4 linked regions of the Caenorhabditis elegans genome follow. The protein of the gene in region 4 interacts with the protein of the main gene of each other region in a pairwise test. Each region holds a gene or a part of one and is shown on either strand. Other genes may lie near its edges. The genes, in order: zip-7, dmd-8, mab-3 and hlh-26.

What was found.
Region 1: the proteins of hlh-26 (region 4) and zip-7 interact in a two-hybrid assay, tested with the Caenorhabditis elegans proteins (one large-scale study listed by BioGRID).
Region 2: the proteins of hlh-26 (region 4) and dmd-8 interact in a two-hybrid assay, tested with the Caenorhabditis elegans proteins (one large-scale study listed by BioGRID).
Region 3: the proteins of hlh-26 (region 4) and mab-3 interact in a two-hybrid assay, tested with the Caenorhabditis elegans proteins (one large-scale study listed by BioGRID).

The regions. Positions count from the first base shown.
Region 1 is NC_003282.8:16,502,391-16,507,638, reverse strand, and holds zip-7 (BZIP domain-containing protein), read left to right. Parts: upstream 1-1,956; 5' UTR 1,957-1,969; coding exon 1,970-2,086; intron 2,087-2,189; coding exon 2,190-2,384; intron 2,385-3,401; coding exon 3,402-3,509; intron 3,510-4,048; coding exon 4,049-4,186; 3' UTR 4,187-4,729; downstream 4,730-5,248. Other genes in the region: Y51H4A.935 (uncharacterized protein), read left to right, coding at 476-487, 543-677, 984-1,019.
Region 2 is NC_003283.11:334,086-338,243, forward strand, and holds dmd-8 (DM domain-containing protein), read right to left. Parts: upstream 2,366-4,158; 5' UTR 2,354-2,365; coding exon 2,218-2,353; intron 2,062-2,217; coding exon 1,889-2,061; intron 1,840-1,888; coding exon 1,321-1,839; intron 1,050-1,320; coding exon 768-1,049; 3' UTR 516-767; downstream 1-515.
Region 3 is NC_003280.10:9,730,519-9,738,276, reverse strand, and holds mab-3 (Protein male abnormal 3), read right to left. Parts: upstream 6,047-7,758; 5' UTR 5,975-6,046; intron 4,866-5,974; 5' UTR 4,856-4,865; coding exon 4,713-4,855; intron 3,267-4,712; exon of another isoform or gene 3,266-3,266; coding exon 3,187-3,265; intron 2,509-3,186; coding exon 2,362-2,508; intron 1,993-2,361; coding exon 1,821-1,992; intron 1,316-1,820; coding exon 984-1,315; 3' UTR 242-983; downstream 1-241. UniProt on the Caenorhabditis elegans protein: Transcription factor which binds the DNA motif 5'-[CGA][TCA][TA]ACAATGT[AT][TGA]C-3', probably as a monomer.
Region 4 is NC_003280.10:5,532,339-5,535,674, reverse strand, and holds hlh-26 (Helix-loop-helix protein 26), read left to right. Parts: upstream 1-1,932; 5' UTR 1,933-1,952; coding exon 1,953-2,101; intron 2,102-2,162; coding exon 2,163-2,369; intron 2,370-2,419; coding exon 2,420-2,696; 3' UTR 2,697-2,836; downstream 2,837-3,336. Other genes in the region: hlh-25 (Helix-loop-helix protein 25), read right to left, coding at 1-221, 278-435. UniProt on the Caenorhabditis elegans protein: As a homodimer binds DNA via the E-box sequence 5'-CACGTG-3'. Represses lag-2 transcription during embryogenesis via Notch signaling, in an unc-37-dependent manner. Also represses tbx-37 independent of Notch signaling.

The sequences.
Region 1 (5,248 bases), on a different chromosome or scaffold from region 4:
ACAAAATTATAGAAAATTAAATTTTCCACAAATTCGCAGTTGACAACTTTTTCCAAATTTATCCGGAACCAAGATAGACGTATTAGAAGTTGGTAGTGGCCGAGGTTTTTCACCTCCACGGCCACAAGGCCAACACCCCCCAACTCATTATACCCCCGTGGTCCTAATGTGGTAACGCAATAATCTGTGTGTGCGTATGTTCAAGTACACATACCCCAAAAACTTGCGTAATTTCTTTGAATTTACCGCTATTCTGACATACGGAAATTTGAATATTATCGGGGGAAACGCGTGAAAACGTATTGAATGGAAAAAAATGTTGAAAATAATTTTAATTTTTTCGTGAAACTGGGAAATAATTTTCAAAAAAAACGTGTTTTTTTTTCAAAGTCGCCAACTAAAAATCAATAATCGAAAAAATCAGTTTCGAATTTTGTTTAAAAATTCCATTCCACTGAAACGAAGAAGAAGCCAAATGATTGCACAAGTCAGTTTAAGCCTGCCTGCCTGCCTGCCTGCAAAAAATGCTCCGAAATTTACAGCTCGTGCTTCCAATTCTTGTGATTTTCGGATCTCTGGTGATGAATTGTGGCGGAAAGAAGAAGAAGTCAGCAAATTCTCCGGAAGGAACAAATAAATCAAAGTTAGGGGCTCCAAAGGAGAAGAAGGATGAAACTGTGAGTTGTGTGACCGCGACGCGACCGCAACGCGACCGCAACGCATTGTTTAATTAATTTTGCTGATTTGGGATACGTACCACAGGTTTCTGCCTTCCCTCCTATTCTGAAATGTAAGAGTTTTGCCGAACTAGGCCATTTTGGCTCAGTAGATTTACGGGGCGTTGCGTGTCGCGTCGCGGCTCGGATTTGTCCGTGTGAAGTACACGACACTTTCCCACGCGTTGTCCGGCAGGCGATTGTCAATAGAGCGCGAATAATGCAATGAGGAAGGTCCTACTTTTAAAGAAACAATTCTGATTTCAGGAAGGCAACTACGAGGAGCTCGCCGTGCCACAATAATTTTCAGGATTCTCATTTTTCACTTGAATAAACCAGTTTTATTGGGATTTTTGTGTTAATTTTTGAATTTTTGAATTGGTGCCTGTTTCATGTGAAGCATTTAACAAGTGGAATTTACAAGGGAAAATTGTTAGCAAGTTGAAGTACGAGCGTTTTTTACAGAAGAAGTAGTATCTCCTCAGCCATTGTAGCTATCAAAAAGTTGTCAACTGGGAAAATATTTATAAATTTATGTTGAACATTTTTTTAGTTGGCAACTTTTCACTAGCTCCGATACTTTTTCAGTTATGGTAGTTTTTCGCGCAAAACTCCAACTAAAATTACCGATTTTTAAGTTTGAAGGCTTATATCTCCTTAGCTATTGAAGTTATCAAAAAGATTTTAACTATGAAAATATTGCAAAATTGATTTTAAACATTTTGTTGGTTGACAACTTTTTATTAGCTCTTACACTTTTCAAGTTATGCCCAGTTTTCCCCACGGAACTCCAAGACATGCCCACCTATTGCCACCTCGTTATACATTTAGGACCACCACCAATCTCTTTTGCGGTACATTATTCAACTAACAGCAGACGGTAGTTAGTTAGTTAGAGAACAACGACGCAACGATTGCGCCATTACAGTTCAAATCATCATAAAAAGAGCCGCCCGTCTTTAGAGACCCCGTGGGCAAATGGGGGAGGAGGCGGGTCTAGTAGGGCCTGTAGAGGTGTCCTGTTTGCGTGCAGACTTTTTCTCAGCATGCGGTAGCTCATAAGTTCCGGTGTAATAGTTTGGTAACTGTTGAGTAATACGGTTTTGGTTTTGAAAATTTAAAAAAAATTCTGTTTCAAAAAAATTTGTTTTATTATAATTTTTTTCAACTTATTACTGTGTTCTTTGGAAGCTTTTTCCTAAATTTCTAGCCATTTTCCACCAATTCTCCACCAATTTCCAGATTATTTCCAGATGATGACAGACATTCAACAGCAGCTGGCTGCCTCGAGAATGTGTGATTCGGATTCTATAAAGGCATTCAATCAGATGTACGCACAGAATCCGTATGGAGCAGGAGCTTTTGATAAGGTTTGTAATTTTTTTTGGAATTTTTCTGAAATTTGAAAAAGTAAAAAAATTTTTTTACTGTTTCAAAAATGCTTTTTAACAAAAAATTAAATTTTTTTCTTAGAACTACTCCGCAGCCACTGCTCTCCCATTTTTTGCTCAACATTTCGCGCCATACGCGAATCCCCATGCCACGTCATCTTTTTCCCCGTCATCGTCTTCCACGTCATCCACCACGTCGTCTCAAAATCAGCAGAGTGGCAGCAGTGGGAGTAAGAAGAAAAAACCGGTTCCGGTGCCGGAAAATCAAAAGGATGAGGTAAGAGATTAAATGGCCGAGAAATGAGAAAACTCGGCCACCAGAAAAAAACGGCCGATCTGCTAGTGTTAGATGTGGCCGAGAAAAAATGGCGGCCGAGGTTTCCTGGATTCCTTCTGCCACAGGGTTCTGGTTTTCCTCATTGAATGTTTCGCGCTCCATTGACAATCGCCCGCCGGACAACGAGTGGGAGAGTGTCGTGTACTCCACACGGACAAATCCGAGCCGCGACGCGACACGCAATGCGACGTAAATCTATCCCAGATATGGCCGAGCCAAAATGGCCTAGTTCTGCAAACTCTTCCATTTCAATTTATGAGGCCAGAAAACCGTGTTCTGCTATGAAAATTGAACTGTTTTTTTTAATTTCCGCTGGTTTTCAAAGTGGTGGCCGAGTTTTTTCTCTAATTTCACTGCCACGAAGTTGAAAAATTGATTTTTTTAAACTGAAAATAGAGTTTTTTTCTGATTTTTCAGTGAAAAAACGTTATTTTGGACCAATTTTGCTGATTTTTCTCGTATTTTGCATTTAAATCGAGATAAGTTGACAATTTTAATGTAAAATACAAAAAAAATCAGCAAAAAAGATCCAAAATAAAGTTTTTTAGCCGTATTTTTCTTAAAAAGGCGTATGAATTAAAAAGTCGTATGAATTTAAAAAGTCGTATGAATTAATAGCTAGCCACGTGTCGATTTACGGAGGCCGTGTACTCCTCGTGGAGTTGATTTCTCTGGGTTTTCGTTTGAAAAAAGTATTTTTATGCCAATTTTGCTGATTTTTCTTGTATTTAACGTTTGAATCGGCAATTTTTGAGTTAAAAACTATAAATTATGTCATAAAATGACAATTTACCATCAAAATCCAACAAAAATCAGTGAAAATTGGCCAAAATCAAGCTTTTCAGCCGTTTTTTTTTCTTCAAAAAACCAGTGTAAACTCTTCCACGAGGAGTACACGAGCTCCGTAAATCGACAGCTAATAGTCCAAAATCCTCTCGAATAAATCCAATTTTCCAGGCCTATCTCGACCGGCGCCGCCGAAACAACGAAGCCGCCCGTAAATCCAGAGAATCTCGCAAGAAAGTCGATCAGGACAATAGTGTTCGTGTAACATATTTGGAGAGGGTACGTTTTCAAAATTTCCCATAGATAATAATCCTTTGCATCATTTTTTTTGGCGGGTTTTTTTTTCCAAAAAAGGGCTTAATTGATGACGTCATCAGTCAACAGGTGTCAGCCTGGCTACGCAATAACTTTGAGAACGCGCCCACGCCGACTTTTCCCAATTTTTCAATAAATTTCGGGAATATCAGATGGCTTTTTGTAGATAACCGACACTTTTAAAAGTACTTTTTGATAGTTTTGCAAACGCGCTCTAGTGCACACGTACAGTAACGTTTGTTCCCTTAATGGTGTTCCACTTTTCGATATGTTCACCAAGAATGGTGTTGGAAAGATTTGTTGGTTTGGAGCAGTAGGTAGTGGACGCAGTTCGGTGTGAGCACTCGTTGGATCAATTCCAGGGAGTGGCTTTTCTTTTTTGTTTCGTTAAAGTTTAACTTTACTTTTTTTTCGGACTAAAAATAAAGAGTAACTCTGATAAAAGGCTTAGTTCTGACGGCATAAAATTTTTATCAATCAATTAATAATTATTTTTTCTCCAGGAAAATCAATGCTTGCGAGTCTACGTCCAACAGCTCCAACTACAAAACGAATCGATGAGACAACATTTGCTCCTGCAAAATCCGGGCACTATAGACACTATGGACCCGATTGCCATGGCGAATATGCCGAGTTATTAAGCTTCTCCCCTCCCACACAAAATCATCTCATTCTTGCACACACATTCAAATCCTTGCTTCTGTATCGAATTTCCACACACCACCCTCTCATTGCGTCACTTTTTTTTTGTAATTTTCTGTAAAAATATAGCTATTTTTGAAGAAAAATGCATTTTTTCAAAAAAAATAAATGAGCGACTACGGTAAGCAATTCCGAGTCTGCAAACACCGTCACGGCAGAATGCACAGAAAAACTCATTTTCAAATTATTTTTCGCTCAGTTTTCGCTAATTTCTCCGAATTTTCGCGTTTTTTCTTTAATTTTTGTTAGTTTTTGATTGTATTTTGTCGATTTTTCACTCTTCGAAGCTGTACCGACTGTAATTTGACACTTTCCGCACGAAAAAATGAGAAAAATCTCAGAAAATAGGTGTATTCAGATTTTTCCCCATTTTCCTCCGATTTTCTGGGCATTTTCTGGGCATGTTTTTCAAGCTAAATTCGCTGATTTTCGAGCTAAAGCAACTTTAAAATCCAAATTCTCTAATAATAAAACAGTTTTTCAGCTTACTCGACTTTTTCCCGGAAATTTCTGAATTTTGCTCATTTTCCGAGGTATTCGTGGATTTTCCTCCCGCTTTTGACCAGAATTAATGCTGAAATTCAATTTTTCAGCTAATTGTACCCTAAAATTGGACGGAAAAATGATTTTTCCATTATTTTCCCGGCAAAGCATCACCTGAGTGATTTTTACTACTTTTTCGACGGAATATATAACGTTTTCAGTAATTTCTCGTTAAATTTCCCAAAAAACTCGTTCAAAATGCTGGAAAAAGTCGAAAAAACTCGAAATTCCAAGAAAAACCAGTTTTGAATATTTTCCCGGGGGGTACGGTAGATTTCGTCGTGTGCAAACACCGTCACGGCAAATTGCACAGAAAAACTCATTTTCAAATTATTTTTCGCTCGTTTTCTCTGATTTTCTGCATTTTTTCATTTTTTCTATAGCTTTTTCATGATTTTTTCGGGTCTAAACATCTAAAAATCACTAAAATTGCATAATTCCGCCGATTTTTCAGCGCT
Region 2 (4,158 bases), on a different chromosome or scaffold from region 4:
AAATTTCTAATTTTTTAAAGATTTATTTTAAATTTTTCAAAAATTGAAAAAAATCTGATTGTGAGATTTCACTGGTAAATGAATTTTTCGGCCATTTTTTTCAAATTTTCAACCATTGTCATTAAAGGAAACTTGACAGGCCGAAAGGAATTGGGTGAAACTCTAAAACTGGCCTGAACTTAACATTAATTTTTTTGCTGTAAAATGCATGCAAATTTGACAGATCACGTCTCAAATAAAAAATCAAAAAAAGTGAAACTGCTCAATTTAGCCGGAAAGCTTATTTTTGGAATAGCAAAATTTGAAAAAAAATTACAAAAAATTCTACAAAATATATATTTGAATTTTAACATTTAGTTTTTTTTTAATATATGGGATTGCTTCCTGACGTTTTATGCAAAAAAGGCCGTGAAATTTCTAAATCCAAGCTTAATTCCAGATATGGTGGCTGAAAATTCGGAAAATTCTCTGTAAAAACCGTGACTTTATAATTCAATTTCTAGTCGAGTCATAAATTGATAAGAGTACAATTTTATTAATTTATCACTTTTGCAGAATCAAAAAAAAGTTTTTGGAAATATAAAACACAAAAACATCAAAATATTATTATCATCATGTTTGAACTGAAAACCCGCACAGCTTAAAATTTCGATGGGGTTTTTACTCTTTTTGAGGTGCAACTGGGAAGGAACTAGAGTTTTACAGGGAAAAGACAATAAATCACAGATTGGAAATTGTTTTTTTTTTTGAAAAATTAAAAAGAAAAATCAATCGGTTTCAGCGCAGCTAATTGCAGCGCTAAGCTCACGGATATTCTGAAAATTTTGAAAGTTCTGGAACAACATTTGCATTCCGATAGGGGTCATCAGGAGAGGATTCGGGAAAAGAGTTGGAGCAGCTCCGTACATAAGCGGAGCCGTGAAAAATGGTGAGGCCGCGGTGGACATGAGAGAGGGTACGGTAAGAAATGAAAGCGGTAGGCTTGATGGAGCAAGTTGTGGAAGAGCAATTGGTGAATGCGGAAGGAGAAGCGGCATTGGAGATGTTGTCTGAAAAAAATTTAATTTAGAAATTTTAGAAATTCTGGAAAAAACCTTTTAGAGCAGTTTTTAGGACGAGACTAGTGCATGCCTACATGCCTACATACCTACATGCCTACATGCCTACATGCCTACATGCCTACATGCCTACATGCCTACATGCCTACATGCCTACAGGTTTACATACATACATGCCTACATGCCTACATGCCTACATGCCCACATGCCTTTTCAGGTTCAAGCTGTACCTGAAAAAATTTTCAGAAAATCTGAACCTCACCTCAAATGGAGAACCAGCCGGACTAGTGCTTGCATTTGCCGAAGTCGCTGCAGGAATCATAAATCCCCCGGCACTGAAGTCGAATTTCATCTGAACCTGCGGAGCCATGTTCAACTTCTCTGATAGCATTCCAGATAGCGAGCAATCCGAGGATGAAGCCGACTCGTCCGAATTGCAGCCCGAAGAAGATGAGAGTGACGATGATGAAGCCGTGGTGGAGCCCTCTTTTTTGGGACTTTTCGGTGCGATAGCTTCAACCGTGTTGCCCTTTATGCTCATTTTTCGCTTCTTAATATGCCGGTCCAGGGCACGACGGGAATCAATCAAGTTACACTGTTGGCATTCGCAGCTGGAATATTGGCACTCCTTTTTGTGATTTTTCTTCCAGACGAGCACATTGTGATTCTTGCATTTTTGGCAGAAATAGCACATGTTCATGTTCTCCATGACAGCTTTTTCATCTGCCTCCCCACCTGTGAAGCCTGGGAACACGTTGGCCTCGCTGATATCATTGGTACGCTGAAACACGGGGATAGTTAGGAAAATTAGGAAAAAAATCACAAGGTACCTGGAACTTCTTGTCTTGCTCTCGTCGGAGACGAATCTGAGTTGACATGATCTCCCGTCGCTTACGGACCAAGTCACACTGCTCACACTCGCAACTTCTATATTCGCAGGTGTGCCCGCGCGTCTCTACGAAAACTCCATGCTGCTTGCACATTCCACAGTGCCGTTTCACATCTGAAAATTTAACAAAAAATAAAACTATGTTAGGCGTAGGCCATACTAATTTCTGAAAAAAAATCAGCAGCCGACAGTTAACCAACCATACATTTTTCTACTGACCCTTTCTCGTGAAACCAATTAACTGTCGGCTGCTAAGAAGCTATAGCTCACCTTTCGGGATCCTTTTCCCTTGGCTGAAAAATCTCTGTGCTCCAACATCCGGGGAGAGGCTGTTGTTTGGTGAAAGCCCTTCTGGAGCACTGAGCGATGAGGCATTTGAAGAAGATGACAGGGAAGATGAGGACATGATCAGGTAAGTCTGAAATTTTCCATTTTTCAAGAGTTGGAAAAGTTGAAGCACAAAATGAAATTGTGAGGGCTACAAGATAAGGGATGCTTGAGCTTGATGACCTGATTGGCTGAAATTTTATAGACACTGCGTCAATGGAATATTTACAGTACTTTCAGTCACTTGTCTGAAAAAAAATCTTGTGACATGTTTTACTAGTCGCCTGATAAGGCCCTGGGGGCTATATAGACGATGCTTTCAGAGAAATTTTCAGGGAAAGCATAAGCAAAACAGGAAGTTGTAGAGGCTTGGGCGCGTGACCGAAGTTTTTCTAGTTTTCTTCGGCCACCAAAAATTTCCCTTATCTACAGTAACCTAGCTCCCCTTGGAGCAAAAAAGCTATCGAAATGAATTCACAAATGAAATGGAATCGAAATAAATAAATAAAATTTCATCCGCCTTTCCCATCTTCAATCCAGGAATGAAAGATTTTCTGTATCTGCCGGCTCCGCCTCTTTCTTGAATATCCCTGATTGCTGTCTAACCATGTCTAACGTCTCCGCCATCCCTCCCCACTCATTCGAGAAAATTCGCCGTAAACATTCTATTTTGGCTCTGCGGAGCTATGACGGAATTCTCATGTCGATGGGGGAAATTACGTAGATTCGCAGTTTGCGTAGATAAGGAGGGGCAATCCGGTCGGGGTTTTACGCGGATCAGTATGGAGCAACTGAGCAGTTGGACTAAAAGCCGATTTATTTCATTTTGTTCACAAAAAGGTGGTGCTCATCTCGTTTTGAAAACACTCGAATTTTTTAAAACTTGAAAAACTTGCTGGCCGACGCCTATGACATATGCCTATGACCTCCACCTATGGCCAACGCCTATGGCCTACGCCTACTGCCTACGCCTATGACCCACGCCTACTGCCTACGCCTATGACCTACACTTATGGCTAATGGCCTACGCCTATGGTCTACGCCTACGAAACCTTGGAAAATTCAAAGTTGAGCAAGCTGAAAATCATTGCAAAATGTTTCATAACAACCACAAAAAAACACTAAAACTAAAAAGATTTTCAGAAGTTTCAACAAATCGGATGACAAATTGTGTCGAAAATCAATCGCTCAGAGTGGTTTCAAATTTTGTGTGGAAAATATAAGAAAATCTGTAGCGGATTTTGACGATTGCTAATCTTTTTCTCGCATTGCTTAGCCCTTGTGTTTGAATTATTAGGCGATTTAAATCCATTTCTGTGATTGCCTTTATCATGCTTTTTTTGTTTTGAATGATTTTTTTTCTTTTTCTAAATAATGGAATAATTTTTTAAAATGTTTTTTCTAAACAATGAAATTCGATCTAAATTTGAAAAGGAGCCTGGCAAGCAAGCCCGAAAGCCTCGTTCACCGACTCCAATGCACCAAATTTTACACGCAAGGTTAAAAAAAAATTCTGTACCGTCCTCGATCACTGTCGGCTGCACAAAAAAAACATTTTTTCCAGTAAAAAAAATGTTTAAAAAAACTATACTAAAACATGTAGGAACTAGTTGTTTTATACTAGTTTATGCTCATTTGGGAAATGCTCATTTCTGATCGACAAGTTTTGTTTTTTTGCCACCGTCTAGACGCTCTACCGTAATCTTTGAAGAATTCTTGCTCCCACCGGGGAAATCTATATTTTGTCACGTGGAATAGGGGTAATAGGAAAACATAGAATGCAACAAGATTTCTTGGAGGTAGGTAGAAAGCCTGAAAAAAATCAACCCATAAGAAAAATTCTTGGAAAAAATTAATGAAGTTACATTTTTTTATTTTCCAAAA
Region 3 (7,758 bases), 4.2 Mb from region 4:
GAACTGAAAATAAAACTTTTTAAAAACTCAGAAGCAACGAAAGTTTAAATTTAAAAAAAATATGTTTTCTGAAACAGGAGAAATTGGGAAATACCCTATGGTACGGTAACGGAAAAGTTTCATTCGTGCTAAGACCTTGTCTATGGGTTTCTACATGGCCGCGGAAGAGAAAGCTCGGCCGCCAACTTTTTTTCTGGAAATTGCTGTACGATCAAGTTTGCATACAGAACCAAGACGATTTAAAAATGAAAAGTTTATTGAAAAATCAAAAATAATAAAAATAAATCAATAATTATTAGACTCGATGCGTCGTGTGTTTGTATGTTTGGAAGTTCTATACATTTTTCTCTCCAAAAAATGTTTGGTTTTTTAAAACCAAAACATTAAAAAACATGATTTCACTTTTTTTCAAAATTATTACCACCGGGGGTGTCTAAAACGGACCGGTTAACTGTTTAGGATTTGATCCTATTTTCCGAGATAAAACAAAGAGAGAGGGAACGAGAATGAGAGACGCAGAGCGAGAAACAATACAGTAATCCTGGGAAAGTGTGGGCGGAGCTCAGCTCAATTTGGGCGGGGACAGTGGGAAATCGATGCAAACGGAAGAATATCGGTGAAATTTGGGAATTTTCGAAGAAATTGATGACATGATTAGGTGGCGAAGAGACATAGAAAGATAGTATGTGGTTTGGTGAGAGACGAAAAGATTATTTGAATTTAAAAAAAATGGGGATTTTTGGAATAACACAAGCGGTCTTGAAGACGAGAAAAAAATCGGTAAATTGGTTGGTTCACTTGGTGAAAAATGAATGAAAAAATTAGAAAATATAACAAAATTGGTAAAAAGTGAAAATTCAAGAAAATATGAAAAAATCATTGAGTTTGAAACCAAAGATAAAAAGAGATTGTGTGGAAAATTAAGCAAAGAAGGGAAACATACAATTTTTCTAAAAATCAATAATTGGTCAAAATTATAGATCTTAGGCTTGCAGACCATAATTTTTCAGATACATACTCCAGAACTCATTCAAAATTGCTGCCGATGAGACAGAACCTGCAGAAATGCCTGGAAGGAGTGGAGCCTGTTGTCCGATTGATGGAGCCATATTTTGAATAATGCTCATCAGGAACTGTTGTTGTTGCAAGCTTATCAATTGTTGATTCATTGGGATCGGCGGATAGATTGGAATCGGAGCAGCCAGCGTCAGAGTGTATTGAGCCAGAAGTGGAGATGGAGAGCATGGTGGAGACATTGAAAGGGATGGGGACATTGTATCAGTGGTTGAGGATGGAGATGGACTTGCTGATGTTCCTGGAATATTATAGATTTAATTTCTTTGAAGCTACAATATAAATTTTAACTGTCTGCGTTGATATTTGCATCAAAATTACCACTTTTTTGTCTTCCCCTGAATTTTGAAAATACATTGGCTTAAGTGGTAATTATCTTTAAGGCAAAGTAACTTTCAGGGCAGGGCCCGCCTGATAGGTAAGCAGAAAGACATATTCTATAACTGAGAAGTTGTACCAATTTGAGATTCTAGACATATTTGAAATTAACCTCTTAACTTTCGTAATTGTTTATTGATGCGTTTGGATATTCCCGTATTTGATTGTTTCGGTACGAAAAATTGGAAATAACAAGTAGCCATTTTATATAATCTATGAGTTGATGGTAAAATCTATGTTTCTGATAACGTTAATACGTACCGTCAACTCTAGAATTACTTCCGACTGGATTTCAGGTTTAGACTCCAATTTTTGTGATTCTGACTTAAAGCTCAATTTACACACTTCTACAAAATCCCATAGCTTACCAATTATCTTTTGACCATCTGTAGCTGTGACAACCATCATCTCCATATCCATATCTTTCGATTTTCTACGAGAGTTCCTTTTTGGTTCTTTACCATCTCGGGATTTCTGTTGTGATCTGCGTAATTTGATTTGAGCCGCCATAAGATTTCGACGGTGTTCCACAAGAGTACACTGAAAAATAATATTTTTAAACTCGAAAATCGTAGTTCTGTTTACGCGTTTTCAAAAATCTCACACAAATTAATGTGGCAACTTTCTCTGTCAGTCCAAGAGCATGCTCCAAGTTGCCTGCTCCACAACAATTTTTAAAAAGTCAATTCGTAGCACTGTTGCATTAAAAATACTTCGAAATAGTTGAAACTTATCAAAATGTTTCAAAAAGTCACATTCTCAAATCTCATTGGCAAGCCACTCCCCCATTTCCCTACAGTACTTTTATAATCCTATAATTTCTTCGCGCAGGTGACATTGAAAAGCATAAAAACTGCAATGTTGTCAAGGGCGCCTGACTGCCGATGATGACAGTATAATTACACTTACCAATGTACACTCGCATGTCACAAATTGGCACATTGTCCGCTTGTGTCCCCGCAATGGGACTAGGACTCCGTGAGCCGAGCACCGAGCACAGTGTGGGTCACGGACACGCTTCCCATCACGGGTTTGAGTTGCCGGTGTGCAGTGGATCTGGAAATTTGGAAAGGTTTATAAGGGGTCCCGCTAAAAAGTGTTTTATTTTCACAGTAATATTATAGGAGTTAATGCAATCACAAAAACAATAACCAAGAAATTCGGTATAAACTTTCAGTAGGCTCAAGAATGCTTGCAGTCAATGCAGCCTACAATTGCCTCATACCTACACGCATACCCATGGTCCAAAGTGAGCATTTTTCTCATTTAAAAATACACTTTCAACAAATAACTGAAATAAAACAATAAGGTAGGTACGCCTATAGATGGCCAGGCAATGACCTATATGTGACTTGCCACAACAAGAGCCCCTTTTGAAAAAGAACAACTTCATGAAAAATATACCTACCCTTAAAAAAATCCGATAAAATCAATCTTTTTCTCACTTTTTCTTTGCTTTTCACACTCTATCTATTCGTATCTTCAATTGTTTTTCTTACAAAAAGAGAAAAAAGCCAAGACGTCAACCCACTTTTCATTTTGAAAATGTCAGATTTGATCTGAAGTTGCGATTTTTTGGTGAACTGATAAGATGTGGTATTTAAGTGCGTGAGAACGCACATACAACCTTCAAGACCGCCTACACCGCGAAACAGAAATGTAGGCAGACAGGAATGAGGTAAGGCACAGCCACCTACAGCCACACCTACCATAGAATCCCTATAGAATACTCACCTTCTTTTTGCTTAGCAAATTGTTCAACTGTCTTCGCTGCTCGACCATCGTGCATTCTCGACATGGACATTTTAGATATCTGTAAAATGTTCGTCTTGTTTATTTTTCAGTGCCACTTGGTGTCATCGACGGGAGAATTTTGTAGTTGTACAGTAACCCGCCCACCCATTCAAATATTTTATTAGACTTTTCACAATAGAGATAGGCCCTATCTTTTGTTAAAAATTATATGAACTGAAAAAATTGGGAGAAAAAAAAAATTGGGTGAGGAATTTTACGACTGTATAGGTCATTGTGGAATGGTTTGTTTGAAAAGTGAGTGTATCTGTGTGATTGGATGTCAAAAAATGAATGAAGATTTTTGAATGAAAAGCAAACATAATTTTTTAATAATTTTCGGTTCCAAAAAAAATAATAAAAAAGGCTGAAAAATTTTTAGTTGCTTGAATTGTCTCAAACTGATCCCAAACAACCAAAATTCATGATGTAACTTCCCAAACATATCTCGAAAAAAAAGAAGCGCTTTTTTGAATTTATCTAAACATTGGAAAAAATGATCGACCGAAGAAGAAGCTGGCAGAATTTCACTAGTTTTTTTTTTAATTTTTAACCGGATAGATATTATTTTTGTAAAGCCTAATAATGAAATTCGGTCGTTTCGGGCGAGTTTTGGATATTTAAACCAGAGAAGTACAAATTCTTTAAACGAGCGTTTAAAAAAACCTAAAAAGAGTAACACACCTTGATATACATATTATTAAATGTGTAGTAGCGAAATCAGGGAATTAAAAAAATTTCACATAGGTATTCAAAAAACTCTTGTAGTCATTTTAAAATGTTTCCCAGATTTCGCTAATCCATCTTCAATTTAGCTTAGTGATAATTGTCGTCATTGCAAGATCTTTTTGAGTCATCTTTCACCTTGGTGAAACATCTACAGTATCCCTAGACCACCTTCAAAATGGTTTAGGTTAATGTATAAAACATAACTTTTTGCCTCTTTGCATTTTCCCATTCTTCTCCTCCGTTTTTCGCGTCCATATAATAATTCGTTTTTGACCCCCCTCACTCATATAATAACAATTTCACCTGTATGGGTGGTATTTTTCGCTTTAAATCGACAAGGTCAGCTGTTTTTTCTTGCTTTGCGTCTTTTCTTGCCCGATCGTAATCGGTAGACGAACATCTCAAATTTTACGGGTGTCTTTGTCGGAGGGCTTCGCGAAAAAAAAAACTGATGGTGGGTGAATAAGGTCGGTGACGCGACAATTTTGAGATAAAATTTGGAATTTGGAGTATTTATGGATAAACTACATACTTTTTCGGCACAACAAAAGTTACAAAAAGTTCATTAAACAGTTGTTAACTTTTTATCGTTGCAAGACCCAAAATTATCAAAAAATTCAAGAGTTTAAGCATTAAAACGTGATGTATATAATTAAGGGTGAATGAGGGAGAAACATGGAATGACAAAATAGTTTTCAGATGAAATGTAGTTTAAAAATGCAAAAAAAACCATTGCTCACCTACAATCCGGCTTGTGACCTTTCCTTGGCTTCAACTCCCCATGATTTAAACATCTCTGACAATAATAATTTTTTTCTTGCTCGGCGAGCTCATCGACTGCTTTCGCCTCACAAATCTCCGATACGGGATCCTCGGTGAGCATTAGAGCTCCTCTGCAAAATTTTTTCAGATTATGAATTTAGTTGTTTTTGTTGAAATTTTTATTTTTAATTAGGGAATTAAAAAGAGGGATCTATAAGCATTATATGAAACTGCTATACTCTAATCTTGACTTATAAAATAATTACGAAATTTTGAAAATGTCGTGGAAAAGTCAAATTTTCAAGACTGATTTTTGTGAGAAAGAACATTTTTTCGCCAAAAATATTGTTCTTTGCATCGGAACAAATTTTCAATTTTTTAAAGGAGCAGCTGGTAATGCGAATTTTTTTTGTAATACTGTATCTTTTCTAGTTTCCAGTGTATATCTTTCGGATTAAAAAAATTTTCAAAGTAAAGTAAAAAAATTTTCTTTTCCTATAATGTTAAGAATTTTGAGAATTTAAAACAGAAAATTTAGAGAGCTTTGAAACCAGTTTTTTTTTCTTCAAAAATTACAGATAGCTCAAACATATATAAAATACGTTTTTATAATCTAAATGTTCAATTCAACGTTGGGCTCATTCTGTGACTTTAAATGTGGAATAAAGTTGGGCTACTGTATGTTTTTAAACCTGCAATAGTTAAAAATGTTAAAAACCAGTTTGAAATTTTTTCTTATAAAGAATTTTTCAGAACGGATATACATGGAATTTCAATATTTAATGGCAACAAAGTTTTATTAATTTACAGAACCGTATTGCTTATTTGACTTGAAGGAAAAAAAGAGCAAATAAATTTCTAAATAAAATACGTTTGAAGTTTTTCAAACCTAACTGCAAACTTTATAAAATCACAAAAATCGATTAATTGCAACTGGCAACATTTGATCGTGTTACAAAAGGTTCAATTTTTAATCAATTAGAGGTTTTTATCAAGAAATAATTTTTTGTAGAGACTAAAACCAAGACAAACAGACAAGTCAGGAGCTACAGTATTTCTACAATGTACATCAGATCAAATGTTCAAGTTTTTGTTAAGCCATTTTCTCAAAAATTTCAAAGAGTAGACTGTTAGGAAAGTCAGCCACAAATTGTAGACGCAAAGATGGAAACATTTTCACATAATTTTACTGTTTTCAAAAACCCCAAAAAATTATTCTGAATCGACTGGAAGCACCTACCCAAAAGTACAATTTCCTCCAACAAGGGGTCAAGATCGAGCTCCTAGAGCACCGATAGCATTCAAATATCGAAAAGAAAAGGAAAAGAGGGAGTAATAGGCACTCCCCTCCTGTGAAACGGGGCGGGTCCCAGCAAGAAAGAGTCGCGGCGACGAAGCGCCGCCTCTTTTTTGGCGACTGATGCCACCCGCGATTGGATAGAAGACCTCACACGACGATAATTAGAGAACGCCGAACGTGAGAAAACCTGGTAAGAGACGCCAGACAAACATATATCGGGAGGGAGCGGCGCCCCGAGACTATGGCGGTGGAGGGGGACACCGCTATCAGTTCTCGCGACGACATATTTTTTCTCTGGCTGACACTCCGCGAATCGTGTGATCTCTGCGTTTTTTGGGGACACCTGTAAGTACGTGTGATCATGGAAAGAGAAGAGACGAGAGAAAATTGCAAACTTTTAGTTTTTTATTTTATTTCCTGTAACTCAATTTTTATAGGTTTTGTTCGAACTTTTATTATCATTCGTTGGGTAGGCTTTTCTAGACTTTTCTGTATTTTAGAAAACTATTAAACATTCCTGGAATGTGACCTACCTTGCTTTAAAGGAAATTGAAACTATGTCTAGAATTATGGATCCACAAGTTGGAACCTTGGAGCCTATATAGAAAGCTTAATTATATTTTTTTTTCGAGGAAAAATACAATTCTTGAGCTTTTTTTCAGTCCATAGGGCCAAGATCCCGGCACCGGGCTGTAGAAAAAATTAGGACTGGAAATTCATAACTGCTCCCATGTGACCTAATTAATATTCATAAGCTAAGTACTTTCTTTCAGCTTTTACTAGCTTTTTTCATTTCTTCATTTGAATCTTAACCCCCCAACCCAACCACAATTTTTTTTCTGAACACCCGCGTCACCAGTTTCAGATTGATTACATATCTAAGCCTACAGTAATCCAATATTTCTCAATTTCGCCTAATGAGCACCTTCAGGTCTTGTGTTCAGTTAGCAGAGAGAGAATGAAAATTGGCAGTTTCAACGCACACATTTGATCTCGACTGTGTCCTCGAAATGGAAAGGAGAAGAAGCGGTAGAAACAAAGTGGGATTGACAAGAAAATTACAGAGGAAACATTTTTGGTAAAGGTTGATTTGGACCTGAAAATATATTAGGAATGTTTTCGAGAGAAGCTACCAAAAACTTTGAAAAGTAATAGTTTTGTTGAAAACTGTCTTACCAACTGTCAAAGTTCTAGTGACTCACTATTTAGTCAAACCGTTTTTCAATTACCAAGATTTGAAGTTTCAGTCAAAAATTATTGACCTGCAATGGATAACAATTTTCAATATGACTTTTAAAGTTTCAGTAATTTAAATTTCTCAAATTTTCCCGAACCAAAGATATTTCCAGTTCCACTTTATAAATGTCGTTAAAAAATTTTAGGTTTGAGAACCAACTTTCTAAAGGAATTGCTGATAAATTTTGACTAAATTCTTGTTTTCAAATGTTGCCGAATGGACTGTATTTACTCTGAACATTCTCTGTACTCCAAAGAGATCACCACATCGAGTCTAGACAGTCTCAACTCGCTCACTACCCGCCCCGCTGATTGTTTCGCTCGTAGGAAAAAAACGGCTGAAGTGTGAGAGTGAACGAACATTCCGTCGTGTTTATCTTGTTGAAATAGTGCAGGTTTCTGTGAGATCTAGACCACCCATCTTTTAAATACTGGTGGTCGATCGAAGCGAAATAAGAGAACGATTTGTTGCGTAAGTGGAGCCTATT
Region 4 (3,336 bases):
AACTTCCCATTTGTTTGTTCAAAATGAAGAATTTCAATTCAGCATAACAGTCATCTTGTTTCTTTCTTCGAATCTTTTCACGTTCAGTCTTCACTTTTCTTCTTTCGGATTCAGTATCAAACTTCCGTCTTGTAGATTCGGAGAGGTCATTCGATGAGAAATTAGATTCCAGATTAACTCCAGTCACAAGTTTCACAATTCGGAAGAGAACTACTTCTTGTCTAAAAAATGAATTAGTTTAATAACTATTTTAAGCTAACAGAGTATTTAAACTTACGATATATGTTCTTCTTCTGATTTTTGAACAATCGTCTTGCATTCGTTAATCAACTCGTTTGTAATATTTCTTCTTTTCCGTTCAGAAGCTGATTTTGGAGTTTGATTGTATGGGACGGAACGATAATCGCTCATTGAAGACTGAATAACTTTTGGCATCTGAAATTTAATAATTTTCATTAATTTAAAATCAATAAGAAATGTAGAATTTATAAAAATTCAAGATGAGCCGTTAAAAAGGAATAATTGTGACAAAACAGATAAATGGGACCAAGAAAGCAGCACAAATTGATTTAGTTTAGTGAGATAACTCGTACTGTTTTTCTAGAAGTATACAGTTCACTGAATGCTTTAAAAGTAATTGATCAAAATCAGTACACTTTCCTGATGTTACAATTATCAAAAAGTATACTAAACCAGCAGACCAGTGATCCACTAAGAAAGTAAATGAACAATGAATAAATGGTTACCTTTTATAGTTCCATTATTGTTCAGAGGGTGGAGCTTTGTATCAAGCGTTTGGAGCCATGGGAATTATTCTGAAATCTCTATTTTTACAGTCCCCATCACGGGTTCCCATGGTTCATCAGTGAGGTTCTCATGAGAACGAGTCAGGACATCTCCAGTTTTGCCACGACTGGATATTGATTGGGTACAGCCTGGGAAATTTCGGCGGAGACTGTGAATTGACATTAACCATTTTTATCACTCATTTAATCAGCTTGCCTAATCATTATTTGTCTTTAATTCGCAAAGTTTCCAATATTCAAGATCTGATTCTAATAAAAATTACCAGATTGATGTATATGATAATGCATAGAACATACAACTACCAAATTTTACGGATTCATTCAGTTTATCACTCAAATATGGCAGTTTTTCATTTTCTGAAAATAATAAGCCAGTTTAATTTTAACATATAACCTTACTGATTTTGAGAACTCCGGTTTGCTGGAAATGCTCACACAGCAACAGAAAAAATTCACACCGGATACATGTAGGTGCCAAGTTATAAGAAAAGTGTCACACGCTGAGATGGAAACCTCGTAAATTAAAAATAAATTGAGATTTTTTTAAACTTGGATATTGTTTTTTAAAACATTTCTAGAACAGCTTGATATAAATATTTTAAACTATCATGTAAAGGAAAAATACTATAACCTAATTCATGTATTTGATTATTTGAGTTAATTAATATGCATTTTTATTTTAAATATTCTAAATTCTTCTTTTGTATTATATATTTACATTTTTAAATTCCATCGAGCTCCGATTTTACCAAATATTCATTTCAGGATTATTTTTTCCCACCAATCAATAACTTCGTTCAGGTTGTGACCCTTCGCATTGCTTGGGTTCTCAGGCTGCCACGGCAAGAACTGGAGATGTGGTACTCGATGCACCATGAGAACCACGCGTAATAAAGGTATGGATATCAGATTCCCATGATATTCCAAACGATGAGAATCCCCGCCTATTGAAGAAAAAACTCGAACATATAATGGAAGGTAGTCATTATGTTTTTGCATACTTGAACTGTAAGGTTGGTTCTTTTCAACGTTTTCATAAGTCTTTAATTTGAACTGCCTTTCATATTTTGTAGTCTCCCTATTACGGTTTTTGTCTAATAATCTTTTGTTAACTATTATTATTATATTTCAGATCCTTGACTCATAATGTCTTCCTCTCCAACTTCGTCATCATCTGGGTCCCCTTCTTCACATGGACATCGATCTGAAACAGAAAAACAAAGAAGAGATGATACTAATGATCTGTTGAATGAATTCAAGAAAATCGTTCAAAAATCGGAATCTGAAAAACTTTCGTAAGTTTTCTACTATTTTATTTAAAAAAAAAAAACGTACTCTCAACTAATGTCTATTCAGAAAAGAAGAGGTTCTATTTCGTATTGTGAAATTGTTATCTGGTATTCAACTTCATCACGAATCGTTTTCAACATCGCCTGGACCAATTAGAAGTATTAAAAAGATTAAAAGCGATCGGGAACAAGTTCGCCGAAATAAGAGAGTTGCCGCGTACAGAGAGCTCAGAAAATTTATTGCATTGAATAATTTGAGTAGCTCAGAAGAAATGTAGGTTTTAGATTTTATTGGCCATAAATTAAAAAACACGTATTTTTCAGAGACAAAATGGAGAATTTGAAGGTTCTAGAAATCATCTTTGAAGTGATTCGTGGAAAGTCGATCACATGTACAGTACCTTGCCTACCATTTCCAATACTTCCTTTTCTCCCAGTATTCCCAGTTTATTCGCCATTAGTTTTCAATTCATACAATCAATTTTCACTTTATCCTCCTCACATGCCTACAGTTCAGATTCCTATTGTCCCAAGTTCCAGCTTCGAAATTGACGCTCTGGAAATAGAAGAAAATGAGAAAGATATCGATATTGTTGGCTGAAGAGATTCAGCTGAAAATCGTATTGGTCTCCAATTTTTTTCAACAGTTTTCAACATTATTTAGACATCTTTTGCATCCCGATTCATTGAAAATTAATAAATTTAAAAAAGTAACATCAAGATAATAAATTCAAGTTTAACACACAGCAATATTGAGATTTTCAGCACAGTGTGCATGATAATTTGAACAGATGCGTAGCAATTGGAGAAAAATTATAGAACTGAATTGCGTTCTTACCAGGACTGTGCGGCAACCGAGATTTAAAGAAATTTCGGCAACCGGCAATTGCCAAAGTTGCCGAACGCTGAAAACTTCGGCAGCCAGCAACTTCCGGTTGCCGGAACTTCGGAAACTTTTCGGCAACCAGGTTTCAAAGTTTTTTTTGTCGAAATTAAATTTTTGAGCGTTTTGGAAAAATGTATGGTCGTTTTTTTCGTTTACAGTGAAATTCTAGCTTTTTCAGGCTCTCTGCATGTTTTTTTTTGAGTTACAAAATGTTTGACGTTGATATGGACAGTTGCCAAAGTGCCGAAAAAAGTTCGGCAACCGGCAACTTGGTTTACGAACCCTGAAAAATAAAGAAACTGTGAAAGAAAATTCAAAAAATGTCAGCACAACTATTAAAAATAAACACTTGGAA